Linked DNA regions of Saccharomyces cerevisiae S288C. The protein of the gene in region 1 interacts with the protein of each later gene in a biochemical or structural test. Each region holds a gene or a part of one and is shown in the gene's direction. Other genes may lie near its edges.

Evidence for each region.
Region 2: the proteins of RSP5 (region 1) and ROD1 form a complex in vitro, tested with the Saccharomyces cerevisiae proteins (4 studies listed by BioGRID, with this or other methods).
Region 3: the proteins of RSP5 (region 1) and RVS167 form a complex in vitro, tested with the Saccharomyces cerevisiae proteins (4 studies listed by BioGRID, with this or other methods).
Region 4: of the proteins of RSP5 (region 1) and SNA3, one has a biochemical effect on the other in vitro, tested with the Saccharomyces cerevisiae proteins (11 studies listed by BioGRID, with this or other methods).

The regions. Positions count from the first base shown.
Region 1 is NC_001137.3:406,418-414,946, forward strand, and holds RSP5 (NEDD4 family E3 ubiquitin-protein ligase), read left to right. Parts: upstream 1-3,771; coding exon 3,772-6,201; downstream 6,202-8,529. Other genes in the region: DSE1 (Dse1p), read right to left, coding at 925-2,646; rRNA-processing protein NSA2, read right to left, coding at 6,977-7,762; small subunit rRNA maturation protein LCP5, read left to right, coding at 8,064-8,529. UniProt on the Saccharomyces cerevisiae protein: E3 ubiquitin-protein ligase which accepts ubiquitin from an E2 ubiquitin-conjugating enzyme in the form of a thioester and then directly transfers the ubiquitin to targeted substrates.
Region 2 is NC_001147.6:360,416-369,141, forward strand, and holds ROD1 (Rod1p), read left to right. Parts: upstream 1-3,953; coding exon 3,954-6,467; downstream 6,468-8,726. Other genes in the region: ERP4 (Erp4p), read right to left, coding at 46-669; PET127 (Pet127p), read left to right, coding at 997-3,399; YOR019W (uncharacterized protein), read left to right, coding at 7,712-8,726. UniProt on the Saccharomyces cerevisiae protein: Mediates resistance to o-dinitrobenzene, calcium and zinc.
Region 3 is NC_001136.10:1,246,974-1,254,405, forward strand, and holds RVS167 (amphiphysin), read left to right. Parts: upstream 1-3,212; coding exon 3,213-4,661; downstream 4,662-7,432. Other genes in the region: MUS81 (Mus81p), read left to right, coding at 1-1,009; CIN10 (Cin10p), read right to left, coding at 1,181-2,848; GTPase-activating protein SAC7, read left to right, coding at 5,564-7,432. UniProt on the Saccharomyces cerevisiae protein: Component of a cytoskeletal structure that is required for the formation of endocytic vesicles at the plasma membrane level.
Region 4 is NC_001142.9:135,227-141,563, reverse strand, and holds SNA3 (Sna3p), read left to right. Parts: upstream 1-4,790; coding exon 4,791-5,192; downstream 5,193-6,337. Other genes in the region: SMT1 (Smt1p), read left to right, coding at 1-145; DNA-directed RNA polymerase I subunit RPA34, read right to left, coding at 426-1,127; SCF ubiquitin ligase complex subunit DAS1, read right to left, coding at 2,194-4,185; inositol-3-phosphate synthase INO1, read left to right, coding at 5,631-6,337.

The DNA.
Region 1 (8,529 bases):
CTTTTTTTTTTTGATTGGCTGTTTCCTTATGCCGCTCTTTCCCAATTTATGACTTTCCAATAATGTATTATTTTGTTTCTCTTTCTCTCTGTTACCCTTTATTTTATCATCTACAATAATTGAATTCCGGAGAGGGTAAAGAAACAGGAAAAAGAAGAAAATGAGACATAGTCAGCATCGTAATCGTTTTCCTTCTGTATATTCCTTTATCAAAAGACTACACGCACATATATATTAATCCCGGTATGTTTTTGGTGTGCTAAATCTATCTTCAAGCACTATTATAGCATTTTTTTAAGAATATCCAAAATAATATGTAATTTATGATTAATCAAGGTTCAAGAATTGGAGAAACCGTGAGCGACTTCTTTGATACTTGGATGTAAGCTTTTATTTAGTTGCTTTTTCGTTTTCTTTTATTTACGCCCTTGTTTTGCGTGTATACTTTACTTTTCTAATTCACTTGAGAGCGGGACTATATATAAAAAAATGCACAATTACAAACTTGAGAATGAATGCATATCGTGAAGATTTTGATATTAAATTAAGAAGCCAAAAAAACGTAGGCAACCATAACAAATTTCGGCATTGAACTTGATTCTAAATGCTACATACAATTACGCGCGCTGTTTTGATATACACACACATATATATATATATACATTGTGTAAGAAAAATTCAAAGCTTAGTAAAACATACAGATCATGGAGAAAAAAAAAAAACCGAATACTTGTGTTACCAGAAGGATCCACTGACTGGACTTGGGTCACAATTTGAATTTTATTGATTTTCACCTTCATCAAGGAGGATGGTCGTTAGTAATAAAGGGCATTCTGAGTGACAGACAAAGAAATTATCTTCAAAGAAATGTTACTTTGATTCATTGATATGTTATTTGTTTTTATTTGAAAGCACTCAAGGAAACTAGACAACAGTAGTATCAATAGTAGATCCACTTAAATGCACATCATTTACAGAATACATCCTCTTTGTGAAGACGATATCCTCTTGGTCATCATTCAATCTACCTTCGCTAACAGTATTTGCTGAAGAACAATCCCAATTACCAGAATTTGAGAACATATCATCAGATGTTTCTGTCATACTATGGTCACTCTCATTGGATAATGATAACATAGAAGAATCAGATATTCCACTCTTCCCAGTACCATTACCATCGATTATTTTACCGGTATCGACATTGAATTGAACTTGACAAATTTGATGTAATCCCAGTTCACAAAAATTGTCAAGAGTTACTAAACTTCCATCGTTTGCCATATCAAGGAATAAAAATCCACATCCTTTTCCATTGGCCTTAGTGTCATTGCTCTTCAAGCAAATATTTTTATCACTCATACCACTCACAATAATGTTTCCACATTGGAAGACTTGCTTGGTTAATAGTAGTTCACTTTCACTATCTAGGCTAATTGAGTTAAATCCATGGACTAACTCACCATATTTCATGTTTTGTAGGTTTTGTAAATCCCAACAAATGACAAAGCCTTGGTCATCACTGCTATATAACGCGCCTGTGTTTTCGTTAAATTTTAGACTTTCAATGTATCCTTTCTTAGCATATAATTCACAAACTGGTTTACCGTCGCAGGATTGAATGTCCCAAATTTGAATTTTATCGTTCAAGCTCTGTGCAACGTGATGATTACTTATCCATACGCAATCCAAACTTGTGTTCTTTCTTTGCAAATGGTCTTTTCCACATCCTGCAGATATGCTATTATCTAAAATATCTGGAATATAGAGATTTGTTCTCAAATCAAGCAGCGAGATGCCATTTGGTCCAAATTTTGAGCCAACTAAGGCCAGTAAGAAGGGATCATGGAATTCATTAACGGCAAAAGAATTTATACCTGGATATGATTGCAAAAAAATAGGTGTTTTTATGCAATCAAGATTTGATTTCAAGTCATATATAAAGAGGGAGTCATTTAGAAGGGAAACAAAACCGGTCTTGTTCCATGGCGAAACCTTCAAAATAGGTGCTGTTTTTGGCGTTATTTCCAGAATCGGAATCGACGTTGATACGGTAGATTTTAGAAACTTGTTGTGGTTAAACCTTTTTATTATTTTAGCACATCCCTTATATGTTGAAGTTGCTATCAGATTGACTATACCGTCTTGATGACCTGTCAATATTAATTGGTTGTGGTTAGGATTTATTTGAGAGCTGGGGAAAATCTGTGGCGGAAAATCTACCATGGGCAATAAGCAGATACAAGTAATGGGTTTACCGGGAACAGTAATCGTCTGTAGTTCCTTCAGCTTTTTCTCAGCGGAAATTTCAAAAAGTTTCAAGTTGTCTTTCTCGTTCATTGTAGATACTAGAAGTATATTATCCACAATGGACATGTCTGAAGGTATGGATAACTCACTTTCATCAACACCGTACAGTTTCCAATAATCTGATTTTAATTTTTTAGTTGTATAATAGTCATTGAAGTTGTCTGATGCTTTTCGCAAAATCGGTGAATTCATTTTCGAAGTATTGTTTTGCCACGTTTTTTTGTATGTGGATAAAGTCATCATCGATTGTAAAATCCTCTTTTTATCTGATCTCTTCTTTATATTAATAGCAGGCTGACGAAAAATATTTGTTGGTTCGTAGTATTTGGTATCTTGCATAATATTAATACGTGTCACTCTCACTATCACACCTACAATCAAATTTTTTAGCAAACACAGATTAAAATTTGGAAGTCATGCAAGAAGAAGAAGCCAAAAGATAGTTTGAGGAAAGCTTGGGAGAGATATTTCTACCTTTTTATATATTGTAAAACGTTTACGCACTTATTTATGTAAACCAGTAAGCACCCACCCAGCTATGTCGTCATGACTACAAATTGGTTATGAACCAAGCCTTATTCAGTAAACCAGCAAATTTAACATCATGCCGGCATTGAATCATACATAGAAATCAACACAATAGCTTTGAGAACTGAGAATGTAGCTTTGACGCTGCTATTATTATTTGGTATTGTTTACCTTTTAATGTTTATTTGTTTAGAAAACAGACTGCTGGTTTGTTTACATTTGAGAGCAGAAAAAAAAAATTGCTGGCGCAGACCAGCCGCACAGTCACGTGACAGTATACGATCATGTGATCTTACGTACATAATGACATTATACGAGAAAGGGGAAAAAACAAAAATTTAGTGGAAATTTTTGGTAAAGACCAAATTGCAGTGATCTTCATGGTGAAAGGTAATATTTTTTGCTGGCGGGGGAGGGGGCTTCTATCTCGACAATTAAAAGACATACGCTTAACCATTTTTAGGGTACTCGAGTATCGCATCTGCTAATTGATAAAAGGACTTTGTTGTGTTTTGAGGCTGTTTTCCATTTTCTTCGTTAGAGCTACAAGAGTCGACTTTTTCGTTAAACAAAAACGATTATAAGATAATAAGCGCTGTCAGTTTTTTCCACAGTTTTGGACTTGTTACTATAATTCGTGAAGCACATTTTGCAAGTGAGTCAAAATTTCAGTTCAGTCCTTCTTTAGAAGAGTGAGTGCGTAGCAAATAAAACAGCAGGAAATAATTGCTTGTTTTTGTGTGTAAGTACCTTTTAGTTGGAACTACCGAATATAGTGTTATTCGACTTTCACTTTCATAAGCCACAGCTTTTTCTTAGTGCGTTTTTAGTTCGATAAATTTACCAAAAACTATTTTCCCCTTTTCTTATTCCCTTTTCTTTGTTAGCTTGGGTATTATATTTAAAGTAACAGAAAGGAAAGAAAAAAGAAAAAAAATGCCTTCATCCATATCCGTCAAGTTAGTGGCTGCAGAGTCATTATATAAGAGGGACGTATTCCGTTCCCCGGATCCGTTTGCTGTTCTGACTATTGATGGTTACCAAACCAAATCTACATCCGCAGCGAAGAAAACGTTAAATCCCTACTGGAATGAGACTTTCAAATTCGACGATATCAATGAAAATTCTATTTTAACCATCCAAGTCTTTGATCAAAAGAAATTTAAAAAGAAGGATCAAGGGTTTCTTGGCGTGGTTAACGTCCGCGTGGGTGATGTTTTGGGCCATTTGGATGAAGATACTGCTACATCGAGTGGTAGACCTCGCGAAGAAACTATTACTCGTGATTTAAAAAAATCTAATGACGGAATGGCCGTCAGCGGTAGGTTGATTGTTGTTTTATCAAAACTACCTTCGTCAAGTCCGCATTCACAAGCTCCTTCTGGCCATACTGCATCTTCTAGTACGAATACAAGTTCAACTACTCGAACAAATGGTCATTCTACTTCCTCCACCCGTAATCATTCAACGTCTCATCCTTCCAGAGGCACCGCGCAAGCAGTAGAATCAACTCTTCAAAGCGGTACAACAGCTGCTACTAATACGGCAACAACCAGTCACCGTTCCACCAATTCCACATCCAGTGCTACCAGACAATACTCTTCGTTTGAAGACCAGTATGGTCGTTTACCCCCTGGTTGGGAGAGAAGGACCGATAACTTTGGTCGTACATATTACGTCGATCATAACACAAGGACTACCACTTGGAAACGTCCAACGCTCGATCAAACAGAAGCCGAACGTGGCAACCAATTAAATGCAAATACTGAGTTAGAGAGAAGGCAGCATAGGGGAAGAACTTTACCTGGTGGATCATCAGATAATTCCTCTGTAACAGTTCAAGTGGGAGGTGGTTCCAATATACCTCCTGTTAATGGTGCAGCAGCAGCAGCGTTTGCAGCTACAGGTGGTACCACATCTGGTTTAGGCGAATTACCTTCAGGCTGGGAGCAGCGATTTACTCCAGAAGGAAGAGCTTATTTCGTTGACCATAATACTAGAACAACCACTTGGGTGGATCCAAGGAGACAACAGTATATACGTACTTATGGCCCTACAAATACCACCATTCAGCAACAACCGGTCTCCCAATTAGGTCCTTTGCCTTCTGGATGGGAAATGAGATTGACCAATACGGCACGTGTATATTTCGTTGACCACAATACAAAAACAACGACCTGGGATGACCCAAGACTTCCATCATCGCTAGACCAAAATGTTCCACAATACAAGCGTGACTTCAGACGTAAGGTTATTTATTTCAGGTCCCAGCCCGCTCTTAGAATATTGCCGGGACAATGTCATATTAAAGTACGTAGAAAGAACATTTTTGAGGATGCTTATCAAGAAATTATGAGACAAACCCCAGAAGATTTAAAGAAAAGATTAATGATCAAGTTTGATGGTGAGGAAGGTTTAGATTACGGTGGTGTTTCCAGAGAATTTTTCTTTTTATTATCACATGAGATGTTTAATCCATTTTATTGTTTGTTTGAATATTCTGCGTATGACAACTATACCATTCAAATAAATCCTAACAGTGGCATCAACCCCGAACATTTGAACTATTTCAAATTCATTGGTAGAGTTGTGGGTCTTGGTGTTTTCCATAGAAGATTTTTGGATGCATTCTTTGTAGGTGCACTTTACAAAATGATGCTACGTAAAAAAGTCGTATTGCAAGATATGGAAGGTGTTGACGCAGAGGTGTATAACTCATTAAACTGGATGCTTGAGAATAGTATAGATGGTGTCTTGGATCTGACGTTCAGTGCCGACGATGAAAGATTCGGTGAAGTTGTAACAGTGGATTTGAAGCCAGATGGGAGAAATATTGAAGTTACTGATGGTAATAAGAAAGAATATGTCGAATTATATACCCAATGGAGAATTGTTGATAGAGTTCAAGAACAATTTAAGGCATTCATGGATGGTTTTAACGAATTAATCCCCGAAGACTTAGTAACTGTGTTTGATGAGCGTGAACTAGAACTATTGATCGGTGGTATTGCGGAAATTGACATTGAAGATTGGAAGAAACACACTGATTATCGTGGTTACCAAGAGTCAGACGAGGTCATTCAATGGTTTTGGAAGTGTGTCAGTGAATGGGATAATGAACAAAGAGCCCGTTTATTGCAGTTCACCACTGGTACTTCTCGTATACCTGTCAACGGGTTTAAAGATTTGCAAGGCTCTGATGGTCCAAGAAGATTCACTATTGAAAAAGCTGGTGAAGTACAACAATTGCCAAAATCTCACACATGTTTTAACAGAGTTGATTTGCCACAATACGTTGATTATGACAGCATGAAACAGAAGCTAACATTGGCCGTGGAAGAAACCATAGGGTTTGGTCAAGAATGATTATTCCGCACCAATTTTTTTTTTATTTATGGTGTCCGTTTTCCCAACATTCTTTCTGCCTCAATCATCTTGTTTTATATTTCAGCTAACAATAGTAAAGAGAAAACTCTTTTTTGTTAATTTTATCTGAGTTGCTCATGAAATGATTAATCATTGTTGTTTTTACAGCAACATGGAAAGCAGCAAAGAAAATGCAGGAAAACGTGAAGTGCTTTTTTTGATGATTACGCAAAGTTCTTTTCAAGTTCGCCATAAGAGGAGGTTTTCCTTTTCAAAAGGAGCATGATACCAATAATTTATATTGCCTTACGCCTCTTATTTTTTATATCCTCTTTTTAGATTTTATTAATTTTTTTTTTTATTTATATACATATAATGTGCCCTGCTTTTTACAACCATACGTTTTTTGTTTTTTAATTTTCTTGCATTTTAAAACTGAATAGTGACCTGGGTATTATACTACAGTTGAAATTGCTCTCGTGAGGTACATACTTGAAACGAGCGTACTAGGCAATCCCTCTCTTGCCAGTCACCTACACACGGAGAGTATCGGTTATTTGTCGTGAGGAAAAAAGAACCGGATAATAAATTCTTGATTTGTTATATTGTACAGAGAATGACGAGAAGTAAAAAGAGAAACCCGAACAGGACAGAGCGTACATTTTTTATATACCTGTTCTTTTGTGCTTGTAGACGTATATCGTATTATTAAATTAAAAGTAAACCTAATTTGAACCATCGAGATAAAAAAAAAAAAAACGGAGCACTTTTTTGCTCATACAAGCAAAACCGCATTGACACAGCCGTCTCTGTCTGGTTCGTTTGTGACCTGAGCATACTTACCCCAGACAACTTTACCACCAGCAGTAACCATCCCCAATTCCGAAACGTTAACTTCAATAATGGTACCTTTAGTCAAAACACCTAACTGAGTGTACATTGGAGATTGTGGATTCTTCTTAACTGCCAAAATTGGCAAGAAGACAGTTACACCTAATTCCGGATGAGTGACGTTTGCCTTTTTCTGTCTCAACGCACTTGGTCTGATGATTCTTTCCATTTTAACTGGTCTTCTAGTGAAACCTTCACCCACAAAAGTGTGTTTCGTTATCATTCTCTTCCATGACTTGGATCTAGATTTACCTGTTTTAATAACTTTGAACATTTCTTCTTCACTTATACCACGAACCTTTGGTAACGGAACTGAAAACTTATCAGCTTTTTCCAACCTCTTTTGTTTGATCGATGAAGAAATAGCTTTGGCTGTGTTATTTTGTTCTCTGTCCAATAGATATGTCGGCAAAGCATCACCATCGGTATCCAATGGTTTGGATGAACCCTTGACCTTAGATTGTTCATGTGCCTTAATCTTCTTTCTCATTGATACCTTTTCAGCATATCTCTTCTTAGCAAATTGCTTACCCTTCCAACCAGTCAACTTCTGGGCCCGTTCAGAAATCTTATGAGACTCTCTTGCCTCTCTCTTACGTTTCCTTTCTTCGTGATCTAATCTTTTACCATGCTGTTTGATGTGACGCTCGATATAATCGTTTTGAGGCATTGTTTCGTTGTATATATCAGTATTGATACGAGACTGACTACTGACTAAAGATAAAAACGCCAGATACGAAAACCAAGTTCTTCTCTAACTGATACCTAATCCATTCAATTGTCTTAAAAGTGCATCTCATCGCTGTCCGGAAAATTTTTCATCGGATTGTTACTAGAACCGTTGCCGACGACATAAAATTTTTTACGCCTTTCCTGCAAGGTTGAAGAAAAGAAACCGATGAGCTATACCATTCTAAAGTGTCAAAAGAGATGAAGAAATTAAAATTGTCAACTAACACACAAATCCAAGAATGTCTGAACTTAATGCATTATTAAAAGATATCAACGGCTCGCTCACTGCGACATCAGAATCCTTGGAGAGGTTGTCTGGGATTTATAGTAATTCTGCGACCGATGAGATTCCTGAAAGTAACCAACTACATGAGCATCTATTTTACGACGCTAAGAAGCCTGCTGAGAAAGTATCGCTGCTATCCTTAAAAAATGGGAGCATGCTAGGGTACATAAATTCTCTATTGATGCTTATAGGCAATAGGCTAGACGACGAGTGCAAAGATCCTTCTGCTATGGATGCACGTGAACGCTCTATTCAACACCGTGTGGTATTAGAGCGTGGTGTTAAACCACTAGAAAAAAAGTTGGCTTACCAATTGGACAAGCTGACTAGAGCATATGTGAAAATGGAAAAGGAATATAAAGACGCTGAGAAGCGTGCACTGGAAAAATCTACCTTAGTGAATCATAGCGGCAACGACG
Region 2 (8,726 bases), on another chromosome or scaffold:
CCTTAGCACAGCTGATCCAACAATTTTAAGAGCTTGAAAAGCAACCTATACGTAGTTTTTTTGGCGACTGGTAAAAAAGAACTGAATAATTAATGCCTGCACTATACTGATACCAACCATTACCCCCATAATTAGTAATGAGAGCCATGTTAATCTTGACTCAGTAGAACTCACAGTATACATGTTTCTCCATTCTCTAGCCCTTAAATAATCCATTGTTTTGGTGATCTTATTCAGGTTCCTATCAATTTCCTCGATGGCGTTGTTTGCGATTATGTCCTCTTTGCTTTCATGGGAAGAAACAATTTCCTTTTCCTTTTCGAGGGTGATTTCAACTTTCTTTGGGGAAGTGCCGTAGTTATTACTCAAACAGAAAGTGTACTTACCTATACCAAACGACTTCAGTAGAAAATCAGAATGCTTCTTTTGTCTTTCAGTGACGATAACAGAGCCATCAGGGGCGGTAATATCGAAGTCTATCTCGAAATTCCCACCTGTCAAAACTTGGTAACTGACCACAAGGACATCTTTATCAGAGGATAAATCATAGTAAAGACATTCTTTGGTAAAAGCAGGTAATGATATGCCTACAGGAGCATAATTAGAGGAGAATGCATGTGTTAACAAAGATGAACTAAACAAAATCGCAATCAAAGTAAAAACGCGCATAATTCCTAGCGATGATTGGGAATATATATTTATGAAAAAACTTCACTAGCGCTCGTGAAACTACTTCAAAGGCAGCTGGGAAATAAATGTCTTCAAAGCAGAGAAGAGTTCCCAAATAGAATTCTCAGATCGTCAATCGCTCATCTTTGAGTATATCACGTCAAAAAACAGGAAACAGTGAAAAAAAAGTAGTCCATAATAAAGCGCGTTTCCGTCAATGCCGTTGGTTAATAAAGAAACAAATATGTAAAAATATAATATAAACAGGGCACTTGAGAGAGCACAAAAAAGAGCCAAACGCTACCTGATACTTTTATAGTTTTGATAATGGGGTTCTACAACTGTAGATTCCTGTCCAGACGTCTATCTGTTGAGCCTTGCAGAATAGGTAGCGCCGCTAAAAGCTATCAACAGCGATCGATTTATCACTTTGGCGCTGCTCTCACAAATGCCCCTAGTGGAAGAGAAACACCAGACAAGCTACGTTCTGACCTGCATAGTGCTTTAGAGATGGTCGATGAAATATATGACACAAATTCGACTGTAGAGGACATTGGAAACAAGGAAAAGGGAGGTCGACAAAAATATACGGAAGAAATGGACAAGGCGATTAATCTACTGAAAACAAATATAAAGAAGGAGTATAGACATGATAAGTATTTGGAGCGGACAAAGGTAGGAACGTATCCTGGTAGAAGAACATATCCTGGTAGGAGAACATATCCCGCTAGGAGAACATATCCCGCTAGCAGAACATATTCAGATAGCAATTCATACACTTTTCGGATAAATGTCCAGAAGATTAGGCACGCATTAGTACGTTACAATCAAGATGGTGTTCAAAAACACAACCAAAAGCCTCCTAGGATTGGTCATGGATTAACGAGAGTGTTATACCAACCGTTGTCGCTACAAAAATTGAGAGATAATAGGAGCAGAATGTATAATTTTGACCCTGCAGTGGAAAATATTAATCCAGAGTATTTGGAAAAGAAAAGTGAAAAAGATGTGAACACAGACTCCTCTGGAGAAGGACAAAGCAAGCCAATATTCATCACACCCCACAAAGATGAATCTCTGTTAAAGGTTGCCAAAGAACATAGAAAAAAGTACATATCTTCATCAAGTTCCATGACATCAGTACTTTCTCAGTTGCACTATTTATTATCCAATTTCAGAAGATTGAATATCATTGATTCCTCGATATCGAAAAATTTTCCTCAAAAAAACTGCAATTATTCAGAAAGTGCATATTTTCCGTCAGCAGTCATTCTGAGAAAGAAGAGAAATGGCATTTGTTCTATTGATTCAGATAGAAGTCTGGATAGGGAGATTGTGCTTTCTGTACTAGGTCATTATCTTGAAGACTTTTTAACGGAAAAGTCCCTGAAGAATAGTTCAAAAAGTGAAAATTATCACTATTCTAGTATAGATGAATTCATTGTGAGATCTCAATTGGACGCGTACGACCCAAATCTACCTGGAACGGGTGTATTTGATCTGAAGACAAGAGCAGTTTCTGCCATAAGATACGATTTATCACATGTAGAGAGTAATAACAACCAAACTGGATATGAGATAGATAAAGTTTATGGGGAATTTGAGTCTTTGGAAAGAGAATATTTTGAACTAATCAGGTCTGCCCTTCTAAAGTATTCTTTGCAAGCTAGAATTGGCAAAATGGACGGTATTTTCGTTGCATACCACAATATTTCTAAGATGTTTGGATTCCAATATCTACCTTTGGACGAATTAGATTATATAATCCATTCTTCGTATAACAGCAAATTCGACAGTTTGTTAAAGGAGAAGAATGATATCACAAAAGGGATATATGGTGAGGAGGACTACATTCTACACTATGACAGGGACGATAGGAAAATTGCTTGCTTGGTGGCTAATAGGGAATTTAAGATGTCTATGAATCTGTTCAGTAATATTTTGAAACACGTTGAGCAGTTACTTAACTCAAGTAATACGAAATGGGAAAAATGCAAAATAATGCTTAAAACCGAAGTTGAAGAAAAACGATCCAAAAGTGGCCGCTTCTTTAACGAACCGGTGCTAAATATTGTAGCCCTGCCGTTGTCACCTGAGTACGAGGATAAATCTTTATTGGTAAAGGATACTTCGAACGAACAATTAACAGAGGAGCTACTAAACCTCCGCTCATATAACGAAAATCTTTTGGAGGAACACCTGAATTCCTTAGTTGGATTTAAAGTAAATGTCAAGCATTTCTATCACCATCATCCTAATACTACACATCTACCTGATTTTGCTTTAAAAAAGAACGATATTCTCGACACCGAATCCCGTAAATATATTTCTGACATGATGAAACGAGACTGGTACAAAGATATACCATCTACACAGACTCCAAACTTTTTCCACGCTTCCGATGTTTCCACTTGGGAGGTGAACTCTACTTTTACAGATATCAATGACAAACAAATTTTACGAAAACTATACTTTAAATATTTGGATGTTAAATTAAACGCATTGAAAAATCAAGTAATCACACGTCAGGAACCTGATATGTCTAAAAAGGATGAAATTATGAATCGAATCAAATCACTACAAGCCCGCAATGATCACCGCGATAATGGAAGTAACAAAAGATATTCTAATTTTGGCCCTACCCGACTGCAAACTAAACTGCGCGCATATGCTAAAAAAGGTGCCCTTCGAAGAAAACTATTAGAAAGGAGTAACAAGTTCCATATCTAGAAGACAGTAGTCAGCGTTGGGCAATCTAATGTTATAGGTGAAGTTTTACTACTTTAATGTATTCACTCACAACTTTCGACCTTATGTAATTATTCTATGTATTTTTAGATATGTCCATACAATGCATTATTCTTGTAATTATAACACATATTAATTAAACAATGGGTCAAAAAGAGTCGAGTCCCTTGGTACATATTATGTTACATTACTGATTAAGTTGAATAAAAGCATCTAACTTTAAGGAATCTGCTTTATTTTGAAGACCGAAAACTACGAGTAAAAATAGGAGTTTTAATGCGGATGAATGTCTAACCCCAGAGATGGGTTCTCCGATAAAAACTGAGAAGCTTCCTGTTCACAGTTTTTATAAATTATTTTGTATGGCTGGGCTCTTGCAATTTTCAGCGTTTTTTTATTAAGCGAAAAAAACAGAACAGGGGTCCCCTATTCAAATATAGACGTCAAAAAGATGCAGATCTAAAACTAATTAACAACCATACAGAAATCAACGCGATTTCATCACACCATTCGCTTCTCTTCCTCCATAAGTAATAATGTTTTCATCATCATCTCGACCTTCAAAAGAGCCATTACTATTTGACATCAGACTTAGAAATTTGGACAATGATGTTTTACTGATAAAAGGCCCCCCTGATGAGGCATCTTCTGTCCTACTATCTGGAACTATAGTATTGTCAATTACTGAGCCAATTCAAATCAAGTCTTTGGCTTTGAGACTTTTTGGTAGGTTGAGACTAAATATTCCAACGGTTTTACAAACTGTTCATGGGCCGCATAAGCGATACTCAAAGTTTGAGAGAAACATATATTCTCATTTTTGGGATGATTTTAATATAAAAAGTTATTTCCAAAACTTGTACGATAATCATAATAATGGTAAAATAACAATTTCTAGTAAATCCTCAACAAATTTAGCAGCATTGCCAAAGAGAAAAAGAGCCCTTTCTACTGCATCATTGATATCAAGTAATGGGCAGACAAGCGCAAGCAAAAACTATCACACCTTAGTAAAAGGTAACTACGAATTCCCTTTCAGCGCGATTATTCCTGGGTCATTAGTGGAAAGTGTAGAAGGCCTACCAAATGCTGCCGTCACTTATGCTCTGGAAGCTACTATCGAGAGACCTAAGCAGCCCGACTTGATCTGTAAAAAACATCTAAGAGTTATTCGAACGTTAGCTATAGATGCAGTCGAGTTATCTGAAACAGTATCAGTGGATAACTCATGGCCTGAAAAAGTCGATTATACGATCTCCATTCCAACTAAGGCAATTGCCATTGGCTCTTCCACCATGATCAATATTTTAATTGTTCCTATATTAAAAGGATTGAAGTTAGGCCCTGTTAGGATCAGTTTGGTGGAAAATTCCCAGTATTGTGGTAGCTATGGAGGGGTTATCAACCAAGAAAGAATGGTGGCTAAATTAAAACTAAAAGATCCCCTGAAGCACGTTGCCCAAATAAAGAAGAAGAGGAGCCTAAATGAAGCTGCCGACGAAGGGGTTGATACGGACACAGGGGAATTTCAAGATAAATGGGAAGTTCGAGCTTTATTAAACATACCTGCAAGCCTGACTAAATGCTCCCAAGACTGTCGCATTTTATCTAATATCAAAGTCCGTCATAAGATCAAGTTCACTATAAGTTTACTCAATCCGGACGGTCATATTTCAGAATTGCGTGCGGCACTGCCTGTCCAATTATTCATTTCACCGTTTGTTCCAGTCAATGTAAAGACCTCCGATGTTATTGAAAGAACGCTCAAAACGTTTGGACCCTCATATCAAGTAACAAGTCAGCACGATAATTCATTCAGCAGCAAAAACTTTGTAGACGATAGTGAAGAAGATGTGATTTTTCAAAGATCTGCTTCTGCGTTACAATTGTCTTCAATGCCAACCATAGTATCTGGCTCTACTTTAAATATCAATAGTACTGATGCAGAGGCTACCGCAGTCGCTGACACAACTATGGTAACTAGTTTGATGGTACCTCCCAACTACGGCAATCACGTTTACGATCGAGTGTATGGCGAGGTAACTAATGAAGACGAAACTTCAGCATCAGCTTCTTCAAGTGCCGTCGAATCACAGGCAATTCACAATATTCAAAACCTATATATATCGGATAGTAACAATAGCAATAATCCTATTTTGGCACCAAATCCTCAAATCAAGATTGAAGATGATAGCCTAAATAATTGTGACTCTCGAGGGGACAGCGTTAACAATAGTAACCTGAATCTGGTTAATAGTAATCTAACAATTAGTGAAAATTGGAACAATAACTCTCCTTCTGCAAATAGATATAATAACATCATTAATGCTGGATTGAATAGTCCTTCACTGACACCAAGCTTTGCACATTTATCTAGGCGTAACTCATATAGTCGCCAAACATCTTCTACATCGCTGAAGAACGATTTGGAACTGACAGATTTAAGCAGAGTTCCCTCGTATGATAAAGCAATGAAATCTGATATGATTGGTGAGGATCTTCCACCGGCTTATCCCGAGGAAGAACTTGGAGTTCAAGAAAATAAAAAAATTGAACTAGAAAGGCCACAAATTCTTCATCACAAGTCTACATCCTCTTTGTTGCCACTTCCAGGCTCGAGCAAGAGTTCCAATAATCTGAAAAGATCGTCTAGTAGGACACATTTATCCCACTCTCCATTACCAAGGAATAATAGCGGATCCTCAGTATCATTGCAGCAGTTGGCGAGAAACAACACAGATAGTTCATTTAATCTAAATCTCTCTTTCACTTCAGCAAAAAGCAGCACAGGAAGCAGACATTTTCCGTTTAATATGACAACATCTTTCACTAGTAATTCAAGTTCCAAGAACAATTCACATTTTGATAAAACTGATTCTACATCTGACGCTAATAAGCCAAGAGAAGAGGAAAACTATACGAGCGCAACCCACAATCGAAGGTCACGCTCATCGTCAGTTCGGAGCAACAATAGCAACTCACCATTAAGACAAGGAACAGGTTCATTTGCTAATTTAATGGAGATGTTCACAAAACGGGATCGCTCATAGACTGCTTTATTTTTTGTCTTCGAAATTTCGACAAAAAGATATGAGCAATACTTCATACACGTTTGTACAGTTAAGCATATATACTTTGATAGAGTACTTTCATACCTCATACCACTTGAAAAATGATAATATAATGTTATAATACTACCTCATAATTGCTATAAAGTAAAACAATTCGGCGTTGTAGTTTATGCTTCTATAATCACAAAAAAATTTCACTGAAGTTGTCAGATTCTGCCGCAAGGCTTCTCATAGATTTTGTTAAGTGGTCTTACTCGGTTTTATGGCTTGAAGGTTAACATAATTATGAAAACTTATTGATATCCTCCCCACCCCTAACGTTTTAAAAATGATCTCGTCCAATATGTTTGAGGTGAATAATATCGGACCAGTTCTTGTTTTTAAAAGATAAGAATTGCTCATATTTCCCATACTTGTTGGAAAATTTCTCTCAACAATTGTATGAAGGCAAAATCCCTCAATTGAAACATTAAAATAGTGATTAGAAAAACAGGATTAATCAGTTATACGAACGTATTTTTGAGAGAATATAATGAGAATACAATGAGCTTCAGAAGATCTGTTTTTCTTTACTTGGCACTTCTTCCTCAACAATTATTGGCACTACAAAATTTTCTAATTAAATGTTAAAGATCCCACAGACATCATTCGTATATATCCTCCCATTTTATACGGTTAGCCAACTTTGCGATCCTACGGAAATTGCTATTTTTATAGTCAACTCATTGATCTCGAGCACAGCTGCTCTTTTCTCTCAATGAATTACGTTATATGTTAATCACACAAGCATCAGTTTTTCATCGCAAAAGAAAATATTTAGAGTTCTTGCAATTCAGATGTACCTCAATTAATAACTCAATCACCTCCTATGTTCTTGCTGGTAGTACTGCTTTTGTCTTAATTACTGCTGAATCAGCCTTCTAGAAGACCGTTCTGTTTCAGCCGCTCGCCCCTTTTCAAAGCTTGCGCGGCTGAGTTTTATGAGGGGCGGCTTTTTTGTGAATGGCAATCTACCATTATTAGTAGCAATATGATTTGCAGATAGATACATATATATCCTTCTGGGTTCATGTCTCGTTACCATCCACACTAATGCATAGGACCAGAAAGAAAGGACATCGAATCCAACACGTATTAAAATAAGGACTCCTCATTAAAAAGGCTTTTAATATTCAACTTGCTATAGATCACGCACCCTTTTGGCAAGTCAACCTTAAATTATTATGATTTCTGTTTGCCCACAAAATGACTTGCAAAAATGCTACAGAAGCCTCACATTCGATGTTCCAGGACAACAATTCGAAGAGAGAAATGAACAAAACCTTAAAAAACGGGCCAAAAAGAAAGGCAGTTTCCAACCATCTGTTGCCTTTGACACAGTGCCTTCCACCGCTGGTTATTCTTCTATAGACGACAGCAGGGAAGGATTCAAAGGTGTACCTGTTCCCAACTATTACACGATGGAAGAGTGCTATGACGATGAAACAGACTCTTTTTCGCCAAATTTGCAATATTATTTGAGAGATACATTCCAATCATCACCTTTTCTGAATACTAGAAAAGAGAACAAATCTGAATCCAGTAGTTTTCCAATGAGATCCTCAAAGTTGTTGGAAAAGAATTCTGACATCAAAAAATATTTCTTGGTATCCAAGAATGGAAAAATAGTGAGGAGAGACTATCCAAGCACGCCAGTAATTGTCAACGAAACGTTGATGATAAACAGGTTTGAAAAGAACTGGATAAAGTTATGGCGCCAAAGAAAACTACAAATAAATGAAAGGCTGAATGACAAAAAAAAATGGTTTACTTACCCAGAACTTATCTTCTCTGAAGAGCGTATTAAACCGTTATATAGAGGAGATGATAGTGCACCATGTACAAAAGAACAAAAAAGAAAGCATAAAATACTTCAACAAAAGGTCGGATATCCCAATAACCCTAAGACAATAGTTTGTCACATTAACGGAAAAAAACATACGTGGGTTGCCCTAGACTGGACAGTCTACAAGTTTGCACGAAATCTTGATCACATTGTTGTCATAACTACACTGCCAAAAATGATTTCTAACAGGAAAAAAACTGCAAAAGATGATACAGAATGGGCACCGGGATATCAAAAAGAAGTAATAGATCAAAAATTAAACGACATTTTTGATTATATTTTACAGCTAGTAAAAGTGGTCAAAATATCCGTCAAAATTACTTTAGAAATAATTGTAGGCAAAATTAAAAAAA
Region 3 (7,432 bases), on another chromosome or scaffold:
TAGACTGAATAGCCAAACTAATATATCTTCTCATAAATTGGAAGAGGTCTCTGATGATCAAACAGTACCTGATTCCGCATTAAAGGCTAAAAGCACAATAAAGAGGAGAAGGTACAACGGAGTAAGTTACGAATTGTGGTGTAGTGGTGATTTCGAAGTTTTCCCAATTATTGATCACAGAGAAATAAAGTCACAATCTGATCGTGAGTTTTTTTCAAGGGCATTTGAAAGAAAAGGTATGAAGTCAGAGATAAGGCAACTCGCTTTGGGTGATATTATATGGGTTGCCAAGAATAAAAATACCGGGTTGCAGTGTGTGCTCAACACCATAGTTGAAAGAAAAAGGCTAGACGATTTAGCTTTAAGTATAAGGGATAACAGGTTTATGGAGCAAAAAAATAGGTTAGAGAAATCTGGCTGTGAACACAAATACTATCTCATTGAGGAGACTATGAGTGGCAACATTGGAAATATGAATGAGGCCCTAAAGACCGCGCTTTGGGTCATTTTAGTGTATTACAAATTCTCCATGATAAGAACTTGCAATTCGGATGAAACTGTGGAAAAGATACATGCGTTGCATACTGTAATTTCTCATCACTATTCTCAAAAAGATCTCATAGTTATATTTCCAAGTGACCTTAAAAGCAAGGACGATTATAAAAAGGTGCTTCTACAGTTTCGTCGAGAATTCGAACGAAAAGGCGGTATTGAATGCTGTCATAATCTTGAATGCTTTCAAGAACTAATGGGAAAAGGCGATCTAAAGACGGTTGGTGAGCTAACTATACATGTTTTAATGCTTGTTAAAGGTATATCTTTAGAAAAAGCAGTAGCCATCCAAGAAATATTTCCTACCCTGAATAAAATACTAATGGCATATAAAACGTGCTCCTCGGAAGAAGAGGCTAAATTGTTGATGTTTAATGTACTGGGAGATGCACCTGGTGCGAAGAAAATTACTAAATCTCTTTCAGAAAAGATATATGATGCTTTTGGTAAACTTTAGCAATTTGAAATATAGTCATCCCTGCAAGGTTTTATAAAGAAAAAAGTGATGATATTCTTTTAACTAATATATACATATATAAGAAAAGAAGCCTTAATTTCTCACGGACAAATATACCAGAAGCATATCTGAAAGCCGCCCCAATGCATTATGATGCCACTTGACAACTCATCAATGGTAGGTACGAAAGACATAATGAACATCAATTCCATTATCAAAAACCCTTCCAACCTCTTCCAGTGACAAACCTTTGACTTCTGGATACCAAAAATATACGAAAAACCAGGCACAAACTGTGAAAAAAGCAAAAATGAGCATTGTATTTTCATCACCAATGGTGTTAATAGTGCTCAGATATGTCATTGAAACAAATGCATTGGTCAACCAATTTGTGCAGGCTATACATGATGCCCCAAATGATCTCCTGTTCAAGGGGAGAAATTCCACACAGGTCCATGGAACGCTGCCCATCGCAGAAGCATATGCTGCAACATAAATTACAACAGAAATTAAAAGTAAATTGACTTGGTCATGACCGAAACCTACACTGCAAAGAAGTAACCCAACAGTCATAATCAAAATTGTTCTCAAAAGAATGGCTCTTCTTCCCAAAGAGTCCATGGTGTACATGGCGAAAAAAGTGAATATGAAGTTCGTTGAGGCAATCAAAATTGGAGGCAGTAGAGGGTTTTTTATATTAAATTTGGAAAATATTATTGCCGCATAGTACATAAAAGCATTAAAGCCAGTGATTTGCTGGAAAAACATTAACATGCAACCTACTATTAACGCTCTTATTGTGCGTGGCTCCATTCTGTGTCTTTTCTTTTTGTTAGATGCCAGGGCACCGTTTGGAGCTGGGCCTCGCAACGCCGATAGATATGCTGATGAGGAGGACATTGTGTTGCTAGTTCTTTCTGTGTTCGAGGAAAGTCTTTTAATGTTAGGTGGGCTAAGAGTTCCTGAGGTTGAACTATCCATGTATCGAATAACCGATTGGGACTGTACTAGTAAAGGTTCACTTGCATCTTCGTATAGTCGTAACTTATCGAGTTCAATTATCAGCTGCTTAATTTTACTATTCACATGATATGTAGATGCAGTAGGATATAGCATTCTTAGAGAATCCCTGGTATATAGAATGTCTCCCTTGGAAATGGACCATCGTGGCGATTCAGGGATAAAATCCAGTATTGAAAGGAACAGAATAGCTGGAATAGCAGAAAGTGCGAACAAATATCTCCATGAATTATCAATCTCTTTCATAAGGGACGCAATCACATAGGAAACCAATTGACCTCCAGTGATGGCAATAATGTTCAATGTCAACATAAAACCCCTGATTCTGGAAGGTGAAATTTCACTCAGAAATAGAGGGACGCACTGGGCAGACACTCCAACAGCGATCCCAACCAGCAATCTCCCACAAATCAAAAACGTCAATGTTCTTGCTATAGCCATTCCAATTGCAGCTAGGATAAAAATTGAACAGCAGATTGCGAGAGTAATTCTTCTTCCATACCTATCTGCTAAAGGAAATGCCAGAATAGAGCCAAAAAATGATCCGACGCTTGTACTGGAAGTTATCAGCTCCTTCTGAACATCCGTTAAAACTACCAAAGATAGATCTTCGGGCTTTAAAGAAAGCAGAACACCTGATATAACACCAGTATCATAGCCGAATAAAAGCCCACCAATGGTAGCACCAACGAAGATTAACGACGTTTTGAACGTTAAAGCATATGGGAGTTGCTCGATGTCATTGGCAGTATTGGATGTTACCTGGGAGATAATGGAATACAGATCAGAATAAACGTCTTCACTTTCATCTGTAGACATACCTCTATCAAGTTTTGACTTTCCTGTCGCTTGCCTGTACGCTTTTGTTTTCTACTGAGAAAAGATACTTTTTGACCATGGACTATAAGTGCACGCTACAGTTGCACATATAAGGTTGTATATAGTTCAAGAAGTTCCTTTCGTATGGAAATTTTGTTATGTATACCTTCCAGTTGCTATGGTAGTCTACCTGACTAAATTATCAATCCGACCGATGTTCGGATGTTGCGATAATATTGGTACCGGAAAAAAAAAAGGAGAGGGCTTTGTAGTGTCGATGTTTAACAACCTGTTTTAAGGAATAAAGTAAAGTGAGGCTCACCTGGTCATTTAACACCAAGAATCAAGGAGCCAATAAGTGCACATGAGTTTTAAAGGGTTTACCAAGGCTGTTAGTAGGGCTCCTCAGTCCTTCCGTCAAAAGTTCAAGATGGGTGAGCAGACAGAGGATCCTGTTTACGAGGATGCAGAACGTCGTTTTCAAGAATTGGAGCAGGAGACAAAAAAATTAAGTGAGGAATCGAAGAGATACTCGACTGCGGTGAATGGAATGCTGACACACCAAATTGGATTTGCCAAATCCATGGAGGAAATTTTCAAACCTATCAGTGGTAAAATGAGTGACCCTAACGCTACCATACCAGAGGACAACCCACAAGGTATTGAAGCAAGTGAACAGTATAGGGCAATTGTCGCAGAATTACAGGAAACATTGAAACCGGATCTGGCTTTGGTGGAAGAAAAAATTGTTACGCCATGCCAGGAACTGTTGAAGATTATTACTTATATTCGTAAAATGGCCACCAAGAGAAATCACAAAAAATTAGATTTAGATAGACATCTAAACACTTATAACAAGCATGAAAAGAAGAAGGAACCAACCGCCAAAGACGAAGAAAGATTGTATAAAGCACAAGCTCAAGTGGAAGTGGCTCAACAAGAATATGATTACTATAACGACTTGCTAAAGACTCAATTACCAATACTGTTCAGTTTGGAAGCTGAATTTGTGAAACCATTATTTGTCTCATTTTATTTCATGCAATTGAACATTTTTTACACTTTGTATAATAGACTTCAAGACATGAAGATTCCATATTTTGATTTGAACAGTGACATTGTAGAGTCGTACATTGCCAAGAAAGGCAATGTGGAAGAACAAACGGACGCCTTGACTATTACACACTTTAAACTCGGTTACTCTAAGGCAAAATTGGAGATGACCAGAAGGAAGTATGGTGTAGCAACCGCCGAAGGCTCACCCGTCAGTGGCGCATCAAGCGGTGTCGGATATGGTGCTGGGTATGATCCAGCAACTGCCACTTCTCCAACCCCTACAGGATACGGTTATGGTGCCGCAGCACCAAGTTACGCCGCTCAACCTGCTGCCCAGTATGGTACTGCTGCCGCCGTTGGTACTGCTGCTGCTGTTGGTACTGCTGCTGGTGCTGCTGCTGGCGCTGTTCCGGGTACTTATCCACAGTATGCTGCTGCGCAATCTCCACCGCTCACTGGGCTAGGCTTCCAACAATCACCACAGCAGCAACAGGGACCACCACCGGCCTACTCTAATCCTCTAACATCACCTGTTGCGGGCACACCAGCCGCGGCCGTAGCGGCAGCTCCTGGCGTTGAAACTGTTACCGCATTGTATGACTACCAAGCTCAAGCTGCTGGTGATTTGTCTTTCCCTGCCGGCGCAGTTATAGAAATTGTCCAGCGTACTCCGGACGTGAACGAATGGTGGACAGGAAGATACAATGGCCAGCAAGGTGTGTTTCCTGGGAACTACGTGCAACTCAACAAGAACTAGAGGAGGCCCCTGCATCCCTCTGTATTCATTACCTTCTATTGTGAGATGTTACCATTACCTTTTTCTTTTATTGTAATGTTTCTTAATTTAAATACTATATAGGGTAATTCATCCTTCCACCAACAAAGTATCGTTTGAGTCTATCTATTACGGGCATGCGGCGAGCATATTACCCTACTGACAATATCCCAAAAGGGAAGGAGCGCGTTCCCAATAGGGCTGCCACCTTCCCAATATGGTACAAAGCCTACCATATGGGGAAATCAGTTTTCTCGCTCACCTCGCCTAGTCTTCCTAAAACGACGTTCCTCAGTCTCCTTTCTCTTTTATAAAACACCATCTCTGTCTTGTCGATGACACAGCCCAGTTGGGAAACCGGTGCTGACAAACAGGAAAAAAGCAAGACTAGTGGCCTGGCGCGGAAGAAACTGAGCTACATTGCACAACATCTTCAAGCAGGGTGTACGCATTCATTACTTTAATACTAAATTTAGAAGAAATCATCCTTTTTACTCGCGAAACTGTTAGGCTTGATCGGACGATCTCAGAAGAGGAAAAACAAATTGATAAAGTCTTCGTTAGGTTTCCTAGAATAGCAGGCCCGTTACAAAAAATTTTTTTACCCATTCCACTGGTTTTATTCACTAGTGACTTGAAAACTCCACATATTTTTGATCTCTTAAGCTTTCACGCATCACAAAGTTATCAGAACAAATTTTCTCCAGAAAGTTATATTGCAGTGTTCAAAAAGCCGTTCTCATTTCACAGCAATTTTTTTCTAAAGTAGAGGGGCAGAGAAATTAGCCTTCACAAGTTTGCTTTCGAGCTTCCAATTTGATTCCTGCTTTGGTCTTACTTTCATCCTCTCAATACCACTAAGATAAACTAAAAATATCTTTATAATGCCAAATAATACTCTTAAACAAGGCTCCAAAATTGAAAATGTTTCTCCCTCTAAAGGTCATGTCCCAAGTTTTTGGAAGCAGTTCATAAACAACCCTAAGAGTATGTCATCCGAAAATATTACAGTCCCTAGATCACCAACTTCTCTTTCAAGGAATGCTCAACCAACTACTTTAAAACGGCCTCCATTATCTTCAAGACCATATTCATATAATACCCCAACCAAAGATAGGAAATCCTTTTCCAAATCCGCGAAACAGAACAATAACAATAACAACGCTAATTCCGGAACATCGCCTCACGCAGAGTTCAAAAATTACAGAGATATGTTTTTATCTAATAGAAATGGTTTCACAGGTAGGGTTTTCGGTGTTACTTTAGCAGAATCGTTGAGCGTCGCCAGTGCAGAGGTCATTGTTCAAAGTGAGTTGGTGAGTTTTGGTCGGATACCCATCGTGGTAGCCAAGTGCGGCGCATACTTAAAAGCAAATGGATTGGAGACCTCGGGTATATTTCGTATAGCGGGCAATGGTAAAAGAGTAAAAGCCCTTCAATACATATTCTCGTCGCCACCTGATTATGGTACCAAATTCAACGATTGGGAAACATATACAGTGCACGATGTTGCATCGCTCCTGAGGAGATACCTTAATAATTTGGCCGAACCACTAATACCTTTATCCCTATATGAACAATTCAGAAACCCGCTACGATCTAGACCAAGAATCCTAAGGCATATGTTGACCCACGAAGTTTCTCATCCGAATGCGAATAAAACAAATAATGTAACAGTAAAATCAAGTAGACAGAACTATAATGATGATGGTGCTAATGATGGTGACATCGAAAAGGAGGACGCTAAAGATGATGAAGAAAAAAGACGAAGAAAAATACGTCATAAGAGAAGGCTGACCCGCGATATAAGGGCAGCTATCAAGGAATATGAAGAGCTCTTTGTTACCTTATCAAATGACACGAAACAGCTAACTATATACCTACTCGATTTACTGAGTCTTTTTGCAAGGCAATCACAGTTTAACCTAATGTCTGGTAGAAACTTGGCGGCCATCTTCCAACCTTCAATATTATCGCATCCTCAACATGATATGGACCCCAAAGAATACGAGTTATCCCGACTAGTAGTGGAATTTTTGATTGAATACTCGTACAAGCTATTACCCCATCTTTTGAAGTTGGCTAAAAGGGAACAACAGGAACGGTTGTCAACCGAAAATAAGAAAAATAATGGAGATAAACAGAAAACTGATCCTATAGAAATACCAAAGATCACCTCATCGGATTCGCCACCAATAGTTTCTTCCAATAAAAACCCACCGGCGATTGACAATAACAATAAACTAGACCATACGACGTTATCGCCAATATCTACTTCGATACCGGAGAACTCATCAGACCTACAGACTTCAAAAATGTTAAAGCCTCCGAAGCAAAGAAGACCACACTCAAAATCGTTTGGTTCTACTCCGGTTCCTCCGGATGTTATTGCTAGTAATAAAAGAAGAACGAGTTTATTCCCGTGGTTACATAAACCGGGAATTTTGAGTGACACAGGAGACAATGGCGACTTAACTGCTACTGAAGCTGAAGGTGATGATTATGAAGAAGAAAATGTTGATCCATACGGTCAGTCTCCATCTAGCGTACACTCAGGTTCTTTGCCCAAACAGCATTATCTGCCAATTCCTCGAATGAACAGATCGTTGAGTGGAAACAGTACCAATTCGTCCTTTAACACTAGACCTATTTCAATGATCCTGACCAGTGGTAATGATAATTCCGCTGATCAATTAGAATTACTAAGTAACACTCATAGCAATAATGAGCGCAGTAATGCTTTACCATTAACC
Region 4 (6,337 bases), on another chromosome or scaffold:
AGATATTTCTATACGGAGTATCCATCGGACGTGCCAGGATAAACTAATCTTTGAAGATTTACAGGTCAACCTTGGAAGTGTATTAAAGATGATTAATGAAGAAGAACACGAGTTAAAAACACACTTACCATTGAACCTCATATAAGAGAGAACACAGAAAAAGCAGGTTAATAATATTCATATGGCGACTCTAAATCAAGAAAAAAATAATCGTTTGTGTTACACCCGAAATATTGAAATTTCTAATCGTATACACAAATTTAAGTATGCAAAACTAAATAGTAATATTGCCCACACAAAACATTCATCAGTTTCCACCAGCAGAAATGCCTTTTTATATATGTAAATGCGAAAAAAAATCACTGACACACACACAAATGCACATTTTTATCTTATGTTACACACAGTTATACGCACATACGCATTCAATCTCTATGTTTCTTTTTCTTATCCTTTTTATCCTTCTTCTCCCTCTTCTCCCTCTTCTCCTTCTTCTTTTTCTTCTTTTCACTAGACTCCTCTTCATCGTCGTGATGTGAACGCTTCTTTGGTTCTTTCTTATTTTCTTTAACTTCCTCAGCCACATGGAAATCTTCGGCATCATAACCAGTAGCAAAATGCTCCAACTTCAAGCCTTCTACTTTTGGAACATCTTTACGTGGAACTCTTACCTTACTGTAATCAATAGCTGGGATTTTAGCGGTTTCGCTGACAGAAAATACCTTGTCAAACTGTAATGGTGCATTATCCTTGGCAGTGCTAGCAATTTTAAGACTTTCCTTACTTTCCGAAGGAACCAATAAAGTCATATTACTGAGGTTATCCTGTGTTAACGAGGACTCAATATCTGTATCGTCCATGATTTTATAATCGTGTTTATCAATTGTCATGGTTGTAGAGGATTCAAAATCTACAGGCAGAGATTTTAACTTGGAGATGTCCACATTTGATGGGAATTTGATCAGCCAAACCTGTTGCTGTTTCGCTTTTTTTTTGTTATCACCGTTGAGAGGGAAATTCTTTAAATGTTTACATTTCTTGAAACCATCTGGTATGCTGAACTCGTTTGATATCACTTCATCATCAGAGTCTGAATCTGATACGTAATCTTTCGAAAGCTTGGACATATCAATTTTTTGTTAATCCCGTTTATTGAATCCTAGCTGCTCACTGCTCACTCGATCACAGACCTATATGATACCGAATACCCTATAACTTGAGCTATTCAATGCTCATCGATAAAATTTTTCATTTCTTTAATTTCATGTTTGAGAAAAAAAGTTTCGCAACACCCAATAACCACACGCTGCCCTAAGAAAAAACTTTCTCAGGCTGAAAAGAAAATTTTTTTTCATTTTCTAGAGCTTTATGGGCAGAAACAAAATGTATAAATACTGGACAACCTTCTGTAAGGTTATAATAATCTCGACATTCGGTTAATAAGAATTCCCCTACATAAGAACAAACAGCAGTGACTGTAATGTAGTAAGAATGAGAGTAATCCTCCTCTTTCGACTTCAGCATTGCACTCCTTCCCATTTGATACATTCAAGTTTGAATAATCTCAAGAGAAATTTCATGACACTTTTTTAAACAGAAAAGAAGAATTGATTGGCCCTGATGATAATGGTGTCTCTTCTTTCCTCGTCCGATTCGACCATGACGACAAGGGATTTTATCTCGTTCTCTTAATGCGAATGATTTTGAAAAGATGTTGCTTCTGTGACATTTTTTTTTAATCATTTGTGTTTGCAAACGGGAACTTTTCTTGCCAGTGTTATACAACACATGCAGATCTGAGCCTTTATTTTTTCTCATGAGATTATCAAATGTGGGTAATTTGAGGAGACAGATAATATATATAATTTATGATCACGGTGATGAAAGACTGGTTCCTTAACATTCGCAGTTTCCACGGTAGGAGTACGCTTACGAACCCATCGTTAGTACTCTCGGTGACCGCTCTTCTTTAGAGACCTTCCTAGGATGTCTGAGTGATCGTATACTGTAGTATCTTGTGTTTACTTTATCAAACCAGCTTACCAACATTGGAATAGTTGGTTGATTTTTTTCTAGCATCCGAATGGATCTTGTATTTCCTTAATATGAAGTAGACCAGTAATCTGAATCCTGCTAGCTTAAAAAATGCGTTGAATATATATTATTAAATATATATATTTGAAGGGGAGTTGATTACATAACAGTGGCTATTCTTGCAATGGTATCAGAATTATTATTGTTGTTGTTGCTGTCGTTCTCCAGATTCTTGTTCGATTCCTTTGACCATCCATACAGATTACTCTTATAATCATAATGATAAAAGACGGGTTCAAAAATACGTTCATTATTCTCCTCCATAACTATTGTGGGAATGTCATTCAACATCAAGAATCTCAAATGAGGAAAACTTTTCAAAAAAGTAACGTAAATCGACTTGAAGTGATGGATAAGAGCGTGATAACACATAATAATATCTCTTTTGGTCAATGATTCATGAGGAAGTTCCAGGTCAGTGGAAATTGTAGCTGCTGTGTCATCACTACTTGGAGGAATGGCCGCATTAATTTCATCATCATCATCATCGTCATCGATTATTATCATTTCGGGCTCGCTCATATGAGCGGTTGATGTGGAAGTCACGGTGGAGTGTTGATGTGGGTTATTAACGATTTTGGGCACCAACTGGGATTTAGAATTTCTATATTCCAAAAGGTTGCGGTTCATCTTGGTCACAAAATTAGTCAAATTCATTGGTTGTGTTCTAACGCTCGGATAAGCATCACAAGCTTTAGAGTATGGTAACAAAGATAGGTATTTCATCATTTTAAAAATATCCTTTGCAGCAATGTCTTGAAGATCGTGAATATAGTAGTCTTCAGGGAACATGAATATTTTGCCCTTCAGAATGTCACTGAATACTATTTGACAGTTTGTGCAGTTGCATTGCTGATTTAGTTGGAACTTATTTTCTTGAATATTGATGATTTGTGGGATAAGACCGTCGTATCTCAGATCTATGAATTGCAATTTGGAGCAAGCTAAAAGAATGGAGAGAAATATGTGAGGATTTGTGGGTTCAGGTACATACTCCTCTAAGAAATCCATTTTTAGTCTTTTCAAATTGGTTAACGAACTAAAAAGATCTACGAGGATATGAACATCCTGCTTAATAGAAATCAAAGACAAATCTTCCAGGTTCTCAAATTCTTTAAAATCTTTCAGCATTTCTGTCTCGCGTTTTAACAAAGTGTCATTCCAAGAAATGATGGTAAGAATTTTCAATGTCCTCTTGTCAAAAACCTCCGATAGTTTAGTCAGAGGATTGCCGGGTCGTATCTTTTTAACAAAATAATCATTATTGTAAAACTCCCTCCTCCAATGCAATTTTAAATCGATGATTTGTAACTTGATATCTAAAGGGTAAAGATAATTGAACAGTTTTAAAGGGTCGATGAATAAAGTCATATGAGAAAGCCGAGAAGAGATACGCTGTGAAAGATATTTGGTGAGATTCGGAATGTAATTTTCGGGAACAACCATCTCAGGCAATGAATTTGGAGGAGCCATGTCGAAACTTGAGACGTTGCTCCTGGAAAAGTGACCATTGGAGATGATATCGTTACAAGCCGGGTCAGTGACGTTTTCTAGTCTTTGCAAGGACTTGCCCTGATTGCAAAGGATGCTGAGAATGGACCTTTGCAAGGTAGAGTCCAAATCCCAGTTGATCCTTATCCACTGGATGACTTCAGTAATGTGAATATTATTTTGCAGTGTTTCTATAAGTTTTTTCAATTTGCAGTTGGCGATATCGCGGGACTCCTCTTCTTTCAACGAAGACGGCAAGTTCAGTAGGGTCCAATTAATTGCGAGATGCATGAAGTCACTCTTCACTACATTTGAGTCGTTCAAATATATTCTTCTATAAAGCAGTTTGGTAGCGATCTTATTCAACCTTTTGTTCACAAGGCAAAGCTGCAAGCGGTCTGGTTGCGGCAAATGAGAGAATACTTCTTGCATGAGCTCATCGGGGAGCTTTGTTAGCGGGAACACGTAGTTTTTGCTCTTGGCGGCGAAATTTATGTTAATATCGTTAATATCTCGTAGCGCTGAAGCATCTGCGTTACTTTTATTGTTTCTGTTAATGAACGCTGCTTTTTTCTTCTGAAAATAATCTTGAAATGGCATGATATGAATATAAGCTGAGTTGTAAACACTGTGTATAGACGTCCTGGATATTTTGCACGGAAATCAGATCTCCATCGAAATCTACAATTCGCTTATAATCTATATATATTCCTCTTTGTGTGGGACGATAAAGTAGGGTAATACTTGCAATGAGAAAGAATACTCTGGTGAACAGGTGCATTTTGAGAGGGAAATAGGAACTAAGAAAAACAAGTAGAGGAAAAGGGGTGTAGTGCAGTGCAGTAAAGCGTTGCATTGATCGTATCTTGATAGATATACCGGTATATTACTGAACGTTTACATTCACCCTACAACATTTATAAATCTTATATATTATACATGCAAACTCGTATTTGTGAAGTGGGCATATAGTTTTTCGCTATGTATATAGCGGATGAGTGCGTTGGGATTACTATTTCTTTAATGCACGTGATGAAGGCTCGTTTTCTTTTTTTTTTTTTTTTTTTCTTTTTGGGAACGGGGGAAAAGGTCTCACTAGTATATAAAGGAAAGAGAGTACAGCACGAATGAGCCAGCTGCAGGAAAGGGGCTAGGTTAAAAAATAAAAACCCAGCAGAAAGCAAACAACCAAATATAATTTAGAAATGGACAGAGACCATATTAATGACCATGACCATCGAATGAGCTATTCCATCAACAAGGACGACTTGTTGTTAATGGTTTTGGCGGTTTTCATTCCCCCAGTGGCCGTCTGGAAGCGTAAGGGTATGTTCAACAGGGATACACTATTGAACTTACTTCTCTTCCTACTGTTATTCTTCCCAGCAATCATTCACGCTTGCTACGTTGTATATGAAACGAGTAGTGAACGTTCGTACGATCTTTCACGCAGACATGCGACTGCGCCCGCCGTAGACCGTGACCTGGAAGCTCACCCTGCAGAGGAATCTCAAGCACAGCCTCCAGCATATGATGAAGACGATGAGGCCGGTGCCGATGTGCCCTTGATGGACAACAAACAACAGCTCTCTTCCGGCCGTACTTAGTGATCGGAACGAGCTCTTTATCACCGTAGTTCTAAATAACACATAGAGTAAATTATTGCCTTTTTCTTCGTTCCTTTTGTTCTTCACGTCCTTTTTATGAAATACGTGCCGGTGTTCCGGGGTTGGATGCGGAATCGAAAGTGTTGAATGTGAAATATGCGGAGGCCAAGTATGCGCTTCGGCGGCTAAATGCGGCATGTGAAAAGTATTGTCTATTTTATCTTCATCCTTCTTTCCCAGAATATTGAACTTATTTAATTCACATGGAGCAGAGAAAGCGCACCTCTGCGTTGGCGGCAATGTTAATTTGAGACGTATATAAATTGGAGCTTTCGTCACCTTTTTTTGGCTTGTTCTGTTGTCGGGTTCCTAATGTTAGTTTTATCCTTGATTTATTCTGTTTCATTCCCTTTTTTTTCCAGTGAAAAAGAAGTAACAATGACAGAAGATAATATTGCTCCAATCACCTCCGTTAAAGTAGTTACCGACAAGTGCACGTACAAGGACAACGAGCTGCTCACCAAGTACAGCTACGAAAATGCTGTAGTTACGAAGACAGCTAGTGGCCGCTTCGATGTAACGCCCACTGTTCAAGACTACGTGTTCAAACTTGACTTGAAAAAGCCGGAAAAACTAGGAATTATGCTCATTGGGTTAGGTGGCAACAATGGCTCCACTTTAGTGGCCTCGGTATTGGCGAATAAGCACAATGTGGAGTTTCAAACTAAGGAAGGCGTTAAGCAACCAAACTACTTCGGCTCCATGACTCAATGTTCTACCTTGAAACTGGGTATCGATGCGGAGGGGAATGACGTTTATGCTCCTTTTAACTCTCTGTTGCCCATGGTTAGCCCAAACGACTTTGTCGTCTCTGGTTGGGACATCAATAACGCAGATCTATACGAAGCTATGCAGAGAAGTCAAGTTCTCGAATATGATCTGCAACAACGCTTGAAGGCGAAGATGTCCTTGGTGAAGCCTCTTCCTTCCATTTACTACCCTGATTTCATTGCAGCTAATCAAGATGAGAGAGCCAATAACTGCATCAATTTGGATGAAAAAGGCAACGTAACCACGAGGGGTAAGTGGACCCATCTGCAACGCATCAGACGCGATATCCAGAATTTCAAAGAAGAAAACGCCCT